Linked DNA regions of Drosophila melanogaster. The protein of the gene in region 3 interacts with the protein of the main gene of each other region in a pairwise test. Each region holds a gene or a part of one and is shown on either strand. Other genes may lie near its edges. The genes, in order: Nopp140, CG3663 and CG12725.

Region 1 (6,110 bases), on a different chromosome or scaffold from region 3:
AACTACAAACACACCATGACATGGATATTTTAAATGAATACTATGTAATATCATTATTTTACGATTTAAACGCAATGTGATTATTTAATTATATATGATTTATAATTAAATGGCCCGCCTTATGTTTTATTCGTTATCGAAATTGCTTGAATTGGTTGAACCGTTTTCAATTATAAAATACTTAATGTACACACCTATGTATGTGAAATCAAACGACAATACATTCTGAATACTAAATGTGAAAGATCATGAAGAGATAAAGTGAAACCTAGTTACATGTAACGTAAGCATCAAATTCATATTAATAAATATAACAAAGAATTAAAAAGAATTATTTGGGTTCCGTTTTCAACATTTCGTTTAACCCAAAATGCTATCCGCATCGATTGGGGCAGTTCCTTTACCCGAAATAAGATGAGTTCTTAGAGATTAGAAACCCGTAGAATTTAAACTTCAAAACTTGATGGTCTGAAGAGAACATGCAAAGGTTTAGTTTCATTTGATTCAAATTTGTAATCAAACTACAAACAATTCTGTTATTAAAAAATACATGTATTTCTTTCCGTGTTTTCTTAGTTCAATTAAATACATTGTCCAATGTGACAAAACAAATTAATCTTTTACATATTGAAGTTGTCATAAGCATTCATAAACCGGCTATCACCACAAGTTAGCGGAAAATTCAACCCTTCATTTAACCCAAGCGTCTGAAAAATACCTTGGCTTACTCTTTATGAACCTTATAAATATATATAATATACAATAGAAATGTATAGGGGTTTAACTCTTAAAGGCTTATAAAAAATCCACGAAACGCATTCGGGTTTCATTCCGTCCGATCAGGAAAAAAAAAGGGTTTAATCCGCTAAAGTCATAATAACCATTTGCTTGGTCACGGGTTTGTCGACCGCCAATTTGCATTCGAATAATTCACATTAAAACGGAAGTACGGACTTCCCGAAGTCAATCAAGAGTTTGGAAAGAATTTACATGTTGGCGGAACTATTGCGTAAGGCAAATATTTTACTTAAACTAGTTAGTTATATCCGTTAGAATAAGGATTATTTTATAGGTGTAATAAATCTAGTCAAATTTTATTGAATTGACTCCTACGTCAATTTGGCCACCTCGGTAGCTGCCGCGCTTCTTCTTGGTCTTCTCGTGTTTGAAGGACTTGCCGCGCGTGTGCTTCAGATCTTTGTTGGCTCGCTCGCCCCAGGATCCGGCAGCGTTTTTCTATCGTGGTGAGCAAATAATAAAATTGGGTTAATCCGATAATATAACTGCATCTAGTGTGTGTGTGTGTGCTTGCGGGTGGGTGGCGCTAACTAACTATTTCTAATTGTCGAAGGTGATCTTCTTGTTTTGCTTTGGCGCCGACGAGTCGAAGGATTTGTTGCCGAATCCGCCTCCACGTCCGCCTCCACCGCGGCCCCCGCGTCCTCCAAAGCCGCCGCCTCCGCGTCCGCCGCCACCACGTCCTCCGAAGCCACCACCGCCGCCACGGCCGCCACCGCCACGACCACCGAAGCCTCCGCCGCCTCCACGACCGCCACCACCACGTCCTCCGCGCTGGTTGTTATCAAAGCCTCCAAAGCTCTTGCGATCGCCAATCTTCTTGAAGCCGCCTCCATCACCGCCGCCCTCGCCGTTGAACTTGTTGGTCTCCCAAGTGCTGCGATCCGGTCGTCCGGAGAAGCCTGAGCCTCCTCGGCCGCCCCGTCCGTTGTTGTGCTTCTTAAAGTCGTTTTCCTGAAATGGTAGAAACGCCGAAAGGGGCAAACCACAAATTAGCAACGATTTGATTTGATATATAAGTTCAAAATGTATTGGGAAAGTGCCACAAGTGGTTTGAGATTCTTCGAGGAGCAACTTGCTAATTTGTGTGTCTGCCCCTTTCAGCCTCGTAGAAAGATCCCCCTCGCCTAATCCTCAACAGCCGTCGCAAACACACACACCCACGCGACTCAAATCCATTGCGGCACTTACCTTCGCCTCGAAGGACATGTCCTGGACTCGGGAGTCCACCACCACGTCCTCGGTGCGTACCCTTCGGAAGGGCGACCGTCGCCCACTTCCCCCTCCGCTATTGTTCATATTATGGTTTCGGCTGAAGGTGTTGTTAGGTGTGGAGGTGAAGTCATTCTTCTGCGAATGGCAATGAAGTTATGTAAAACTGTCTGCACAGGAATCGGACAAGGAGCCAAAATTATGTGCTGTTTAAAGTTCGGCTCAAATTTCAATAGGGCTTTAAAAAGCTACTTTTAAGGGAATCCTTTAACTCAGGAATTATTTTTATCCGACATTCAAAATTGATGTCTGAAGGAAAACATGCATAAGCGGACTGCGGATAATTTTAGATGTACATAGATAAGTTACACCGCCTTACCTGTTGCTCTCCCGATTTGACGAAGTTGTTGTACTTCTTGTTGGGAGTGGCCTCGTCCTGGTCGCCACCACTAAACTTGCGCTTCTGAGCGGTCTTCTCATTGCCATTGGTAGCTGAGTTGGGCTTGACCTCGCCGGACTCTTCACCAGAGTCACTCTCGTCGCTGCTGCTGTCAGCCTTCTTCGCAGGAGCAGCAGTCTTCTTGACAGCTGGCTTCACTGCCGGCGTTTCTTCATCGCTGGAATCGTCACTGTCTGAGGAGGCAGCCTTTGCAGACTTGGCCAGAGCCTTGGGAGCAGCCTTTGCTGGCTTTTCGTCTTCTGAGCTATCGCTATCTTCCGAAGAAGCAGCCTTTGCAACGGCCTTCGCGGCTGGTTTCTTGGGAGCTTCCTCCTCATCGGAGTCGCTGTCTTCGCTTGAAGACTTGGCCTTTTTGGCCGGTGTCGCCTTTGCTGGGGCGGCAGCCTTCTTGGGCGCCTCTTCTTCCGAGGAGCTGTCATCGCTGGAAGCTGCCTTCTTGGCAGGAGTTGCCTTAGCTGGCGTGGCCTTTGCTGGAGCTGCCTTCTTGGGCGCCTCTTCTTCCGAGGAGCTGTCATCGCTGGAAGCTGCCTTCTTGGCAGGAGGTGCCCTAGCTGGCGTGGCATTTGCTGGAGCTGCCTTCTTGGGCGCCTCTTCCTCCGAGGAGCTGTCATCGCTGGAAGCTGCCTTCTTGGCAGGAATTGCCTTAGCTGGCGTAGCCTTTGCTGGAGCTACCTTCTTAGGAGCATCGTCTTCCGAAGAACTATCCTCAGTGGAACTGTCGGCCTTTTTGGTGGGAGCAGCCTTAGAAATGGGCTTTGCGAGAGTTGCTGCCTTTTTGGGTGCCTCGTCTTCAGAGGAACTATCATCACTAGAGGAAGCCCCCTTCTTAGCAGGAGCCAACTTGGCAGCAGATTTAGCAGCGGGTTTGACCTCCTCCTCTGAGCTGCTGTCTTCGGAACTAGAAGCGGCTGCCTTAGGAGCTGGCTTTGCGGCAGGCTGGACGGCAGGCTTCTTGGCGGCTGGCTCGTCATCGGAGTCGCTTTCCTCGCTGGAGGATGCTGCTTTCTTTGCCGGTGCAGCCTTGGCTACAGGCTTGGCAGCTGGCTTAGTCTCCTCATCGGAGCTGCTTTCTTCGCTGCTGGAGTCGGCCTTCTTGGCGGGAGCAACCTTAGTCGTTGTGGCCTTGACGGCGGGCTTTGCCGGTTCTTCCTCGGAACTGCTATCCTCGCTGCTGGACTCAACCTTCTTCGCGGGAGCCGCCTTGGCCGGAGGTGCCTTCACTGGAGCAGCTTTTTTGGGTGCTTCTTCCTCCGAGGAACTGTCCTCGCTGGAGGATTTTGCCTTCTTGCCGACAGCCTTGGCCGGCGTGGCCTTTGCTGCTGGCTTCTTCTCCTCCTCTGAATCGCTGTCCTCGCTGGTTGAAGAAGCTGCCTTTTTGACAGCCTTGCCGTTTGTTAGTGCAGGAGCTGTCGCTGGCTTCTTAGGCGCCGCATCAGACTCAGAGTCTGAGTCGCTGTCTTCGCTGGAGTCTCCGGCTGTCGCCTTGATTGCTGGGATCTTTTTGGGGCTTTTGGTCTGGTAGAACTGAAGGATTTCACTCAACTTTGGGCTGCTTTTGGCGACACTGGCCTGCAAGTTAGAAAAAGGCAGAAATTCTTGGTTATCTGGACGAAGCACGTGGCACTTGCAGCAAGTGGCAGGTGGACAGCTCGATGAGCCATCGGCGGACAGCAAGGCCCTCGGATTCTAGATCAGGAGGACGCAGATACCACATGTTTCGGGTGCATCCAAACCGCACATATTGCACTTGCCGCTCTGCACTGAAACTTACCGCCTTCGTCTTCTGCTGGAAAACCTTGGCTAGGTTCTTGTCCTTGGACTGCAAGTACTCCAGGACGATTGCATCGGCTATCTTTAGCAGGTCTGTCATGATTAATTCAACTATTCGTCAATATTTTCCGTCCGCAAATAATTACTAGCCGCTTGTCCCACAAAAAAGAATGCGCACTCACACGTGTTTTCTACTTATCAGTGGTATGGCAGCACTACGCGGCTGCCAACGGTGTGGCCACCCCTGCACCCCGTTTCTCAACACTGTCAATGCAGCGGGTATTCTTCCCAAGAATAACTCGAAAATGCCAATCAATTGTAATCATTTATTTATGCCACACCGACAAAGATCTTGAAATTAGAAATAACGCTAGGCTACGTTAGACAAAACTAAAATTACAAATTTATTGTTATATATGTCTATGTATATATATATATGTATATATATATATGTATATGTATATATGTAGACATATATAACAATAAATTTGTAATTTTAGTTTTGTATATATATATATATATATATATATATATATATATACATAGACATATATAACAATAAATTTGTATTGTTAAATTTGTTATATATATATATGTCTATATGTCTATGTATATATATATAAATTACTAAACTGTATTATTAAATTGTATTCAAACAATTAGCGTATATATAACATAATGTAAGGAACCTACGTTTTTTGCGTGAGGTATTCAGACCATCCACGACTGGTCACATTGGGGGAGCACCAAAATGTATTTTTGTTTGTTATTCAATTGAGTTGACCTGCTTGAAACGATCCAGAATACAGAAACTATCTCTCGCTCCGGCTATTTTAACAGACTCTGTACCTAGATTGTGTCGCGAGGATCGCATCCCGGGCCATGGCTTCCGAGCCGAGATCCCTAATTCTGCAATTGGACGACGACTGTCTGGCCGAGATTTTCGATCGCTTGCAGGACCTGCCGTCGGAAGTGTCCTTCGCGAGGACTTGCCGGCGAGTGCAGTACATATGTCTGAGCAAGTGGCGCACCAGCCATGCCTACGAGCAACTGGATCTGGAGAAGTGGCGGGTACTGTTGCCCAATCATGAAGACCTGGTCTACTTCCTAACCCAAATGCGTCCGTACATCAGAGAAATGGGCGGCAGCAGCTGTCTGTGCTCCATTCTAAAAGATCTGGACGAAATGCACATTGCAGAGCTGCCCATGGTGACCAGCTTCTACTACGACCCAGACGGCGTCGATTGCTATCCCACGAACCGAAGCATCCGCAAGCTGGCCCGCCTGCTGCCGGGCTTGAAAAAGTTGCGCCTTACCACACCCATCGACGGGCGGTACCTATCCAACTTCCAGCACCTGCAGGAGCTGCACCTCTACGAGGACCAGCACAAGGCGTTTGAGCTGCAGCAGAAGTACCTGGACGAGGTGTGCCGGTAAGTAGTAACCTTCTGCTGCATAATATTTCGCAACTCATTTTCCGTTTGCGCCACAGCACGCTGCACGATCTTCGGGTCCTGGACATTAGGACGTACGATATGATCAGTAAACTTCAGCTGGGAAACTGCCTGCAGAGCTTTAAGAACCTCACTGATCTTAAGCTCAATCTGGCCACCTTGAAACCCATTCTACCCGCCGTTCTGGAGCTGCCCTCCCTCAGGAAACTGGTGGTGCTGCTGGACAACGAGTGGCATATCCCCCCGCTGGTCAGTCCGGATAGCTATGACCACAAGATCCGCGAGGTCAGCGAGTTCTACGAGATCATGGCTTTCAAGGCCAAGGACATCGTCGGCTTTGCCGTGGACGGGTACTATATGCCCCTTGAACCGGGCTGGGATGAGAAGCTGCCCATCTGGACGCATCGCAGGCTGAA
Region 2 (3,411 bases), on a different chromosome or scaffold from region 3:
TTGAAGAGTGACCGAGTGACTTTGATGTTATGTTAATCTTAACTTATAAAACGGCGGTTTTTTCCATAAAATGAGTGGTGAGGTAATGTCTTGTTGTTCCAATAAAACGTTCCCCTGGTAGAACTCATATTGAGAGCTGTTGGGCTACAGTTCATAGAGCGCTTCAGCATCTTCATCCAAGGGTCTGTCCAATTAGACATTGCGCTTACAGAGCCCCTGAATGGGTCATGTGGAATGATGATGATTTCCTCATCCCACACTGCTGCACAAATAAAAGGTTACCGAACAGCACTCAGCTTTATAATCAATGCCGACAGGCGGCATAAAATACGCATTGTCATCCGCATAATAAGGAACCCAGCGGAAATGGGGCAAAGTGGGGGAACTCACCGGAAGGGAAGCCATTGGGGCTATTGTTAAACGGCAAATTCAAATATGGACTCGCCCATTGTGCGGGGCCATTGGAATATGTTACGGAAATGACAACTTAAATGGGTGCTGCTCCCATTCGGCCCATTCGGCCCATTTCCCATCCGCGTATCCTTGAAAAGCACAATTCTGCATGATGGTTTTATAAATGCAATTGGCTTTATAACAAACAGATATTTAGACAGGAGGGGCTATCTCACAGCTTGGCACTGCCCGCTGGCACTCCGCTCCCGTTGCGCGTGAGTTCCATATCCACCGACGGCTGGTTCACCAATTTCCGGACCACATCGAACTTGGGGTTGTTCTTATCTCGAACCAAGTCGAAGATAACGCTCTCACTAGTGGTGATCACACAGCCCGCTTGACGCAGGCGATCCAGGGCTAGATCTCGATCCTGGTTCAGCCTGGAGGAGCAGCAGTCCGCCACTATGTATACGTTGATGTTTTGCTCGAGGAGATCGATGGCGGTCTGCTCCACGCAAATGTGGGACTGTTGAAATTTTGAATTTAATGTTTTCGAATAAGAGTGTTTTTCTCCTTAACCCACCTCGAGGCCATATAGCACGACATCCTCTGGCTTGTCATTGAAGATATCCTTGATCACAGCCTTGACTTCGGGAGTAAACATGCTGAAAAGGGTTTTACCGGAGACCAGCTTCGCATGGCTTACATCCAGTTGGGCCACTGTTTTTCCTAGTTTTTCCGGATAGTGTTCGGTTACAATCAGAGGAACATCTAAAGCCTTTCCCGCCCGAGTCTAAAATTTTTTTGAGTTAATCTCACAGGTTAATGATAAGGATCAATATCAAAATCAAAGTTCAACCCACTAGTTTGTCGACGTTTTTGATCATGTTATCAAAGAGCGGCATGGCCGGTCGGAACTTTTCTTGAATGTCGCACAACAGGAAAAGCGTTTTCTTCGGGTTCAAGTGACAGCGTCGCAGGGCCATTTTGTTTCACACTATTTACTAGATTCGGCTTAGAAAATACGCAATGTTCACTTGTTAAATAAACTGCAAATTGTATCAGCTGTTTACTACCAGGGGTACGAAAAAACGAAACGGTTGGCTTGATCGATACCGATAAGAATTATAAGCAAAGCACTTATCGATTACCTAATGGAAGATTTAGTACATGGCTGTAACTGATATTCAAACTTCAAACTTTTATTTACAAGTTGCAATACTTCAGATATAAACTACGGAAAACTGAGGTCCAAATATTGCTAGATGCTTACACAGACTAGACCACATAGCCGACATAGTTAATTAAAACGAAATCTTCATTTAATTTAACTTTGCCCACGGCGACATCATCAAGTAAATGTGTAATTACTTAAACGCCTCACTCCGCCTTCGCACAGGCAGCAGATTTATATTCATAAGCCAAGGCATCCTGGAATCCGAAGGCATTTATAATTGAATTCCTCACCGGCACACCGACATTATAGTAATGAAGCCACCGGCCCAGTCAATTTCAATAACGCAATCAAATGCGTGCAGTTTCAAAAACCACAAATGCGAAGCGGAGGAGGGGTAGTCCAATCCCAATGCCATTGACATGACCGAAATGAGTGTCCGGCGGGCAATCTCTTGGACATTCCCGGCACGTAGCCTCGATGGACCCGATACTTCTCCGGGCAAAGGAAGCCCACGATAATGGCCATGGCGAGTCGCATGCATATTTTAGTAATTTGCGCCGCCTTTTGTGTGCCACCCCCCTGTTACCGCTCCGCAACCCCTCTCCCCGCCCAGATATTACTGGTCTACATATTTCATGAGACCCGAAGCTTGCGGATGCTGCAATTTGGGGGCCGAGGAAGAGAAACCTTAGTGGAACCACTCAAAAAGTAATCGAAATGTCTGAAACAAACACATGCGTACGCACCTGAATAGCACCTGTATTTGCTATTTGCCTGCGTTTCTGTATTCATGTCGCCTCTCCATCTCTGCTCTATATTTTCCTAGTCTTCAAGAAAAGTCATCTTGATTTTCAATTTCGACGCCATTTGCGCTTCACCGGAATCGAGAGTCATTTGCATTTTCCTTCTGCTACACTTTCACTTGGGAAGTATCCGCACTTGTTGGCGAAGTAGTGGTGCGTTACGTTGATGGAACTTCCGGTTTTCGATTTGGATACAGCCTGGTACTTTTCGAATACTTTGTATATTTGCATCTATAATGCTTATTGTATTGTATTGCAATGGCGTGGAAAAGGATAATTCGCAGCAATCTCATATCCCTTTCGCTACCAAATCTAGATGTAAGCCTAAAGCTCCTTCAGTTGAGAAGTGTGCTGGATTCGTAGTCGAGAAGTGCTAATGCTAATAATAAGTCGACACAATTGACAAAAAGTTTTTTCATCTACCGAGGAAAAGGGGGCAAACAACAAAATGTCTCACCAGCAATTTGCTCACATCCCAGCAGCAATTTATTGAATGTGAAAATTTAAAATTGTTCATTTGAGAAACAATTTGCGAGCGTAAGTAAGTCGAATTGCGTTCGTTTTGTTGTTTCAGAACTGACAGCCATAAGTTCGAATATATGGCAATAAAAATCCAAGATGCTCGGGGAGCAGCAACAAGCGCCCAGAGAGTTTGTTCGTCTGACTGTATTTTTATGTGATTTCTGAGGCCATCCCCCATCCCCCATCCTCCAGCTCCTGCTCCAGCTCCAGCTCCAGCTCCATCTGGGAGTCCTGGGGAAAGTGCTCTCATGCGAGATCGAATGTAGGAGCGGGGAAAATGTTATGCCATTTATTTAGAGTATTGAAGTCTTTGAGCTACGCTTTCCGTCCGCAGTGCCATTTGCAATTGTGCAATTTGCCCAATGAAATGTAAATGCGAATCAATTGTAGTTTTATTTGCAGTAATTCCTGATTCGACAAACTCGACTTGTGTAAACGCATTTCATTTCGAATATTCAGTTCCATTTGCATATTGCTGCCTGGCTCCACAATATGAATCTAAAGCCCCTAGTTAGT
Region 3 (3,176 bases):
TTTTATTGATAAGTATACGATATTTTCAACCTTATACAGTTTGAATATGTTTGCATTTTTCATTTAAACTAAAGAAAAACAATCAGTATCCTATATTTGGCTAAGTTACATTATGAAATTTAAAGTTCGACACCTCAACAGAATTGTAAGCGCCATCTATCGGTTGGTAGCGGACGGGGGAGGGCAACTCATTAAATAGTCAGCACAAAAGTATGCTAAAATATATCACAGAGTTGCAGGATATCGAATTATGTTTTACCAGTTGAATCACCACCCTCATGACCTCCCTAACCTGGTTTTGACCTAGAAAGTCTTAGTTTTAAAATTCATTAGAATAATCAAATAAATAATAATTACTATGTTATATCAACTATTATAATTCTCCCTATCATTTTTAGGATTAAAAATCTGTTAGTCTTAAGTAACCAAGACACATTGTAAAATAAAATAATTTAAGCAGATCAAATTAAGTTGCCGCATGGGTAACAGTGCGTTGATCAAATAATAAAAACATCATCATGAATAAAAAAAAAAAAAAAAAAAAAAAAAAAAAAAAACCAGTTGAATGTATTTAAACTATATTTATAAATATTTTTTGAGTTAAATGGCTTTCGTTCTACAGTTCAGCTTTTCAGGAATACCATGCAGTCCATAAATAATACATAAATTTTAAGAATTTTTATGGCATTGGCCATGAGACGTTAATTATTTGCTTGAGTGTAAACAAATTCGAAATTACTTTAAATTACTTTAAATGATTCGTAAATGGGTGGTATTCTCGAATTTTTTTTTTATAATGCAACTTAAATAAAGCATTTGTTCTAAGACCCGTTCTGCTTGTATTTTGAAAATCATTGGAAGGAACTTTGAAATGAAATGAGCGCAGTCATTTGAATTGAAGATTATTTAATACAGTCTACTGCTTATTGTCGTTCTTCGTAGCCTTCTTAATCAGATCCAGAGAAATTCAATGGAGCAATCGGCTCTAGCTCCGTCTGGTTGTTGACCAGTGAATCATCGGAGTTAAGGGACAACAAATCGAGTTCAGTCAAGTCCTGTGCCTCCAGTTCATCATCGTCACTTTCCAGATCTATGCGTTGCTGGTAACCGCCGATCAATGTAGACATATGTTCACCACTATCGTTTTTCCTGCCATAGCCGAACTTGCTAAACTTGCCAATCTTCTTTTCGCGCAATTGCTTGGGCGTCAGGACGACCGGCTTCCAGGTGAGATCCAGAATGGACTTATGGCCCACATCCTCCAGTATGCTCTGATTGGACAGCTCGCGACCCTTGTAGGACAGCCGACTGAAGCCCATGGGCACGGACATGGCTCGCCCGATCCGTGCCTTCAGGTTGGCCACCGTTCCGAAGCGATCCACATCGTAAACCGTCTTCTTGCCGTCGCTCGTCTGAACTAGAACTTGCATCTTACGCATCCTAATCCAGATATATATATATATATATATGTATCTGGCACGTCGAACTGCAACTTTTTTCGTTTTATACACAAGCTCTAAGTTTTGCTTCGTTCGGATAAAAGTTTGCTCTTGGAATCCCCTATCAAACTGTCGTCGTCATGCGAATGCTAGTGCGAGTTAAATTTAATGGCATCCTTGATTACCTTATTTGATTTCCTTTGTCGATTCTCCAATCGAATTTCATAAGGAGCAATTGGCAACCCTGAAGTTGATATATTCGGCTATTCCAATTTAATAAAAATTCATTTTCGCGCTTTAACCCACAACAGTTGCATATTCTTTGAATAGTCACTATTTTTGATTTCGACGTGAAAGTAAAATATTTTCAATCAATACAGGTAGAGAAAACTCATAAGAGCGGGGCTCCACTGCCCAGCGGCCACGTGGCCTCCAAGGACCAGAACGTGAATACATTGAGCAAATCGATCCTTGGCGAGGTACTAAGAAAAGCCTTTAATGTGAAGGCGTGACCCGTTCAGCGCGGTTTGCTCTCCTCCGCGATTCATATGAACCTCTGACGAATTCGATGCCATAATTTTCAGCTGCCAAGGTCGTCTTTCAAAAATAAATATAAAAAATTAAATGTTTCCAACTTTTTAAGTTAGTAAGTTAAATAATTAGCAATAGAAATTAACTATTTTTTATAGGATAATCATAGCGAAATTTCTGAAAATGCACGAAATGAACAGCTGATCAAAAGTGAAGTGTAGTGCACTCTATTGAGCCATTATCGTGGCAAGTATCTTTGTGCCAACTGTTGTGCCACCTTGTACGGACAGCGTACACTTGTGACAGCGAATGCATCTTAGAGATACAGATACATCCGAAGACAAGGCACTTTGGCTGGCACTTCGGCCCAGTTTTATCAGCTCAACAGTTGAACAAAAACAATTCGCTGACCGATATGGAAGGTATAGTTGTGTTTCTTGTTCTTGTTGGTATTTTCTGTTATTGGCCCCGTTTTTGGTAAACAAGATAACACCGCACATCGTAGATTCGTTTAGTGGGGTGCTGTGGGGCTTGGGATCGCTGGGATCCTCAAAACACTTATTAATACTAAGCATTTTCTGATTGGAAATCGTCGCCAGATAACGCACGAATATATCAAAGCTAGTCCAGTACAAAGGCGAAAGAGCCGAATACCGAGTCAAAAAGAAACCAGCAAAACAAAAACAAGAAAAGCCGCAGCAGCAACAAAATACTAAAAGCAAAACAAACAGCGATAAAATCGAACAGCTAGGCACACTTGAAATACCCTATCGAAAATTGGGAAAGCCCTAACACATGGATTTAAGCCAAGTGTTCGTTAAGCCCTGAGTAAATGCATCGAGTTTAATAGCGGCAAGGGAAGCTATATGGACTCTATATGACTTTATGGTTAAAATATAAGCTGCTTGTAACTATCGCATTTATGTAAGTTTTAGTATGAATTTTGGTATACGGCCAAGAAAATGAGTAATAAAACCTGGTACCAATTTTCACCACCATCCGATTGGTAATACCCGAGTTACGATAGGTAAGTTTTGCATATCCCGCTCTCTTTTCGCTGTGGGCCACACCCTCTTTTCAAAGGGGCATGCAGTCGCAATGTCTCGATCTCAGCGAAAGGGTAGCGCCAGTGTCAGCAGAGGCGGAGCAGAGGAGCAGCAGTGGGGGCACCATATACAATGTACATATGCACAAGAAGCCGGTCTT

Evidence for each region.
Region 1: the proteins of CG12725 (region 3) and Nopp140 interact in a two-hybrid assay, tested with the Drosophila melanogaster proteins (one large-scale study listed by BioGRID).
Region 2: the proteins of CG12725 (region 3) and CG3663 interact in a two-hybrid assay, tested with the Drosophila melanogaster proteins (one large-scale study listed by BioGRID).

What each region holds. Positions count from the first base shown.
Region 1 is NT_037436.4:21,831,109-21,837,218, reverse strand, and holds Nopp140 (Nopp140), read right to left. Parts: upstream 4,446-6,110; 5' UTR 4,341-4,445; coding exon 4,242-4,340; intron 4,040-4,241; coding exon 2,390-4,039; intron 2,149-2,389; coding exon 1,990-2,148; intron 1,753-1,989; coding exon 1,339-1,752; 3' UTR 1,237-1,338; coding exon of another isoform or gene 1,084-1,236; 3' UTR 534-1,083; downstream 1-533. Other genes in the region: CG7148 (uncharacterized protein), read left to right, coding at 5,123-5,673, 5,733-6,110.
Region 2 is NT_033778.4:24,659,563-24,662,973, reverse strand, and holds CG3663 (uncharacterized protein), read right to left. Parts: upstream 1,472-3,411; 5' UTR 1,380-1,471; coding exon 1,257-1,379; intron 1,187-1,256; coding exon 977-1,186; intron 920-976; coding exon 626-919; 3' UTR 565-625; downstream 1-564. Other genes in the region: Cpr60D (cuticular protein 60D), read left to right, coding at 1-11.
Region 3 is NC_004354.4:13,401,276-13,404,451, forward strand, and holds CG12725 (uncharacterized protein), read right to left. Parts: upstream 1,589-3,176; 5' UTR 1,440-1,588; coding exon 948-1,439; 3' UTR 564-947; downstream 1-563.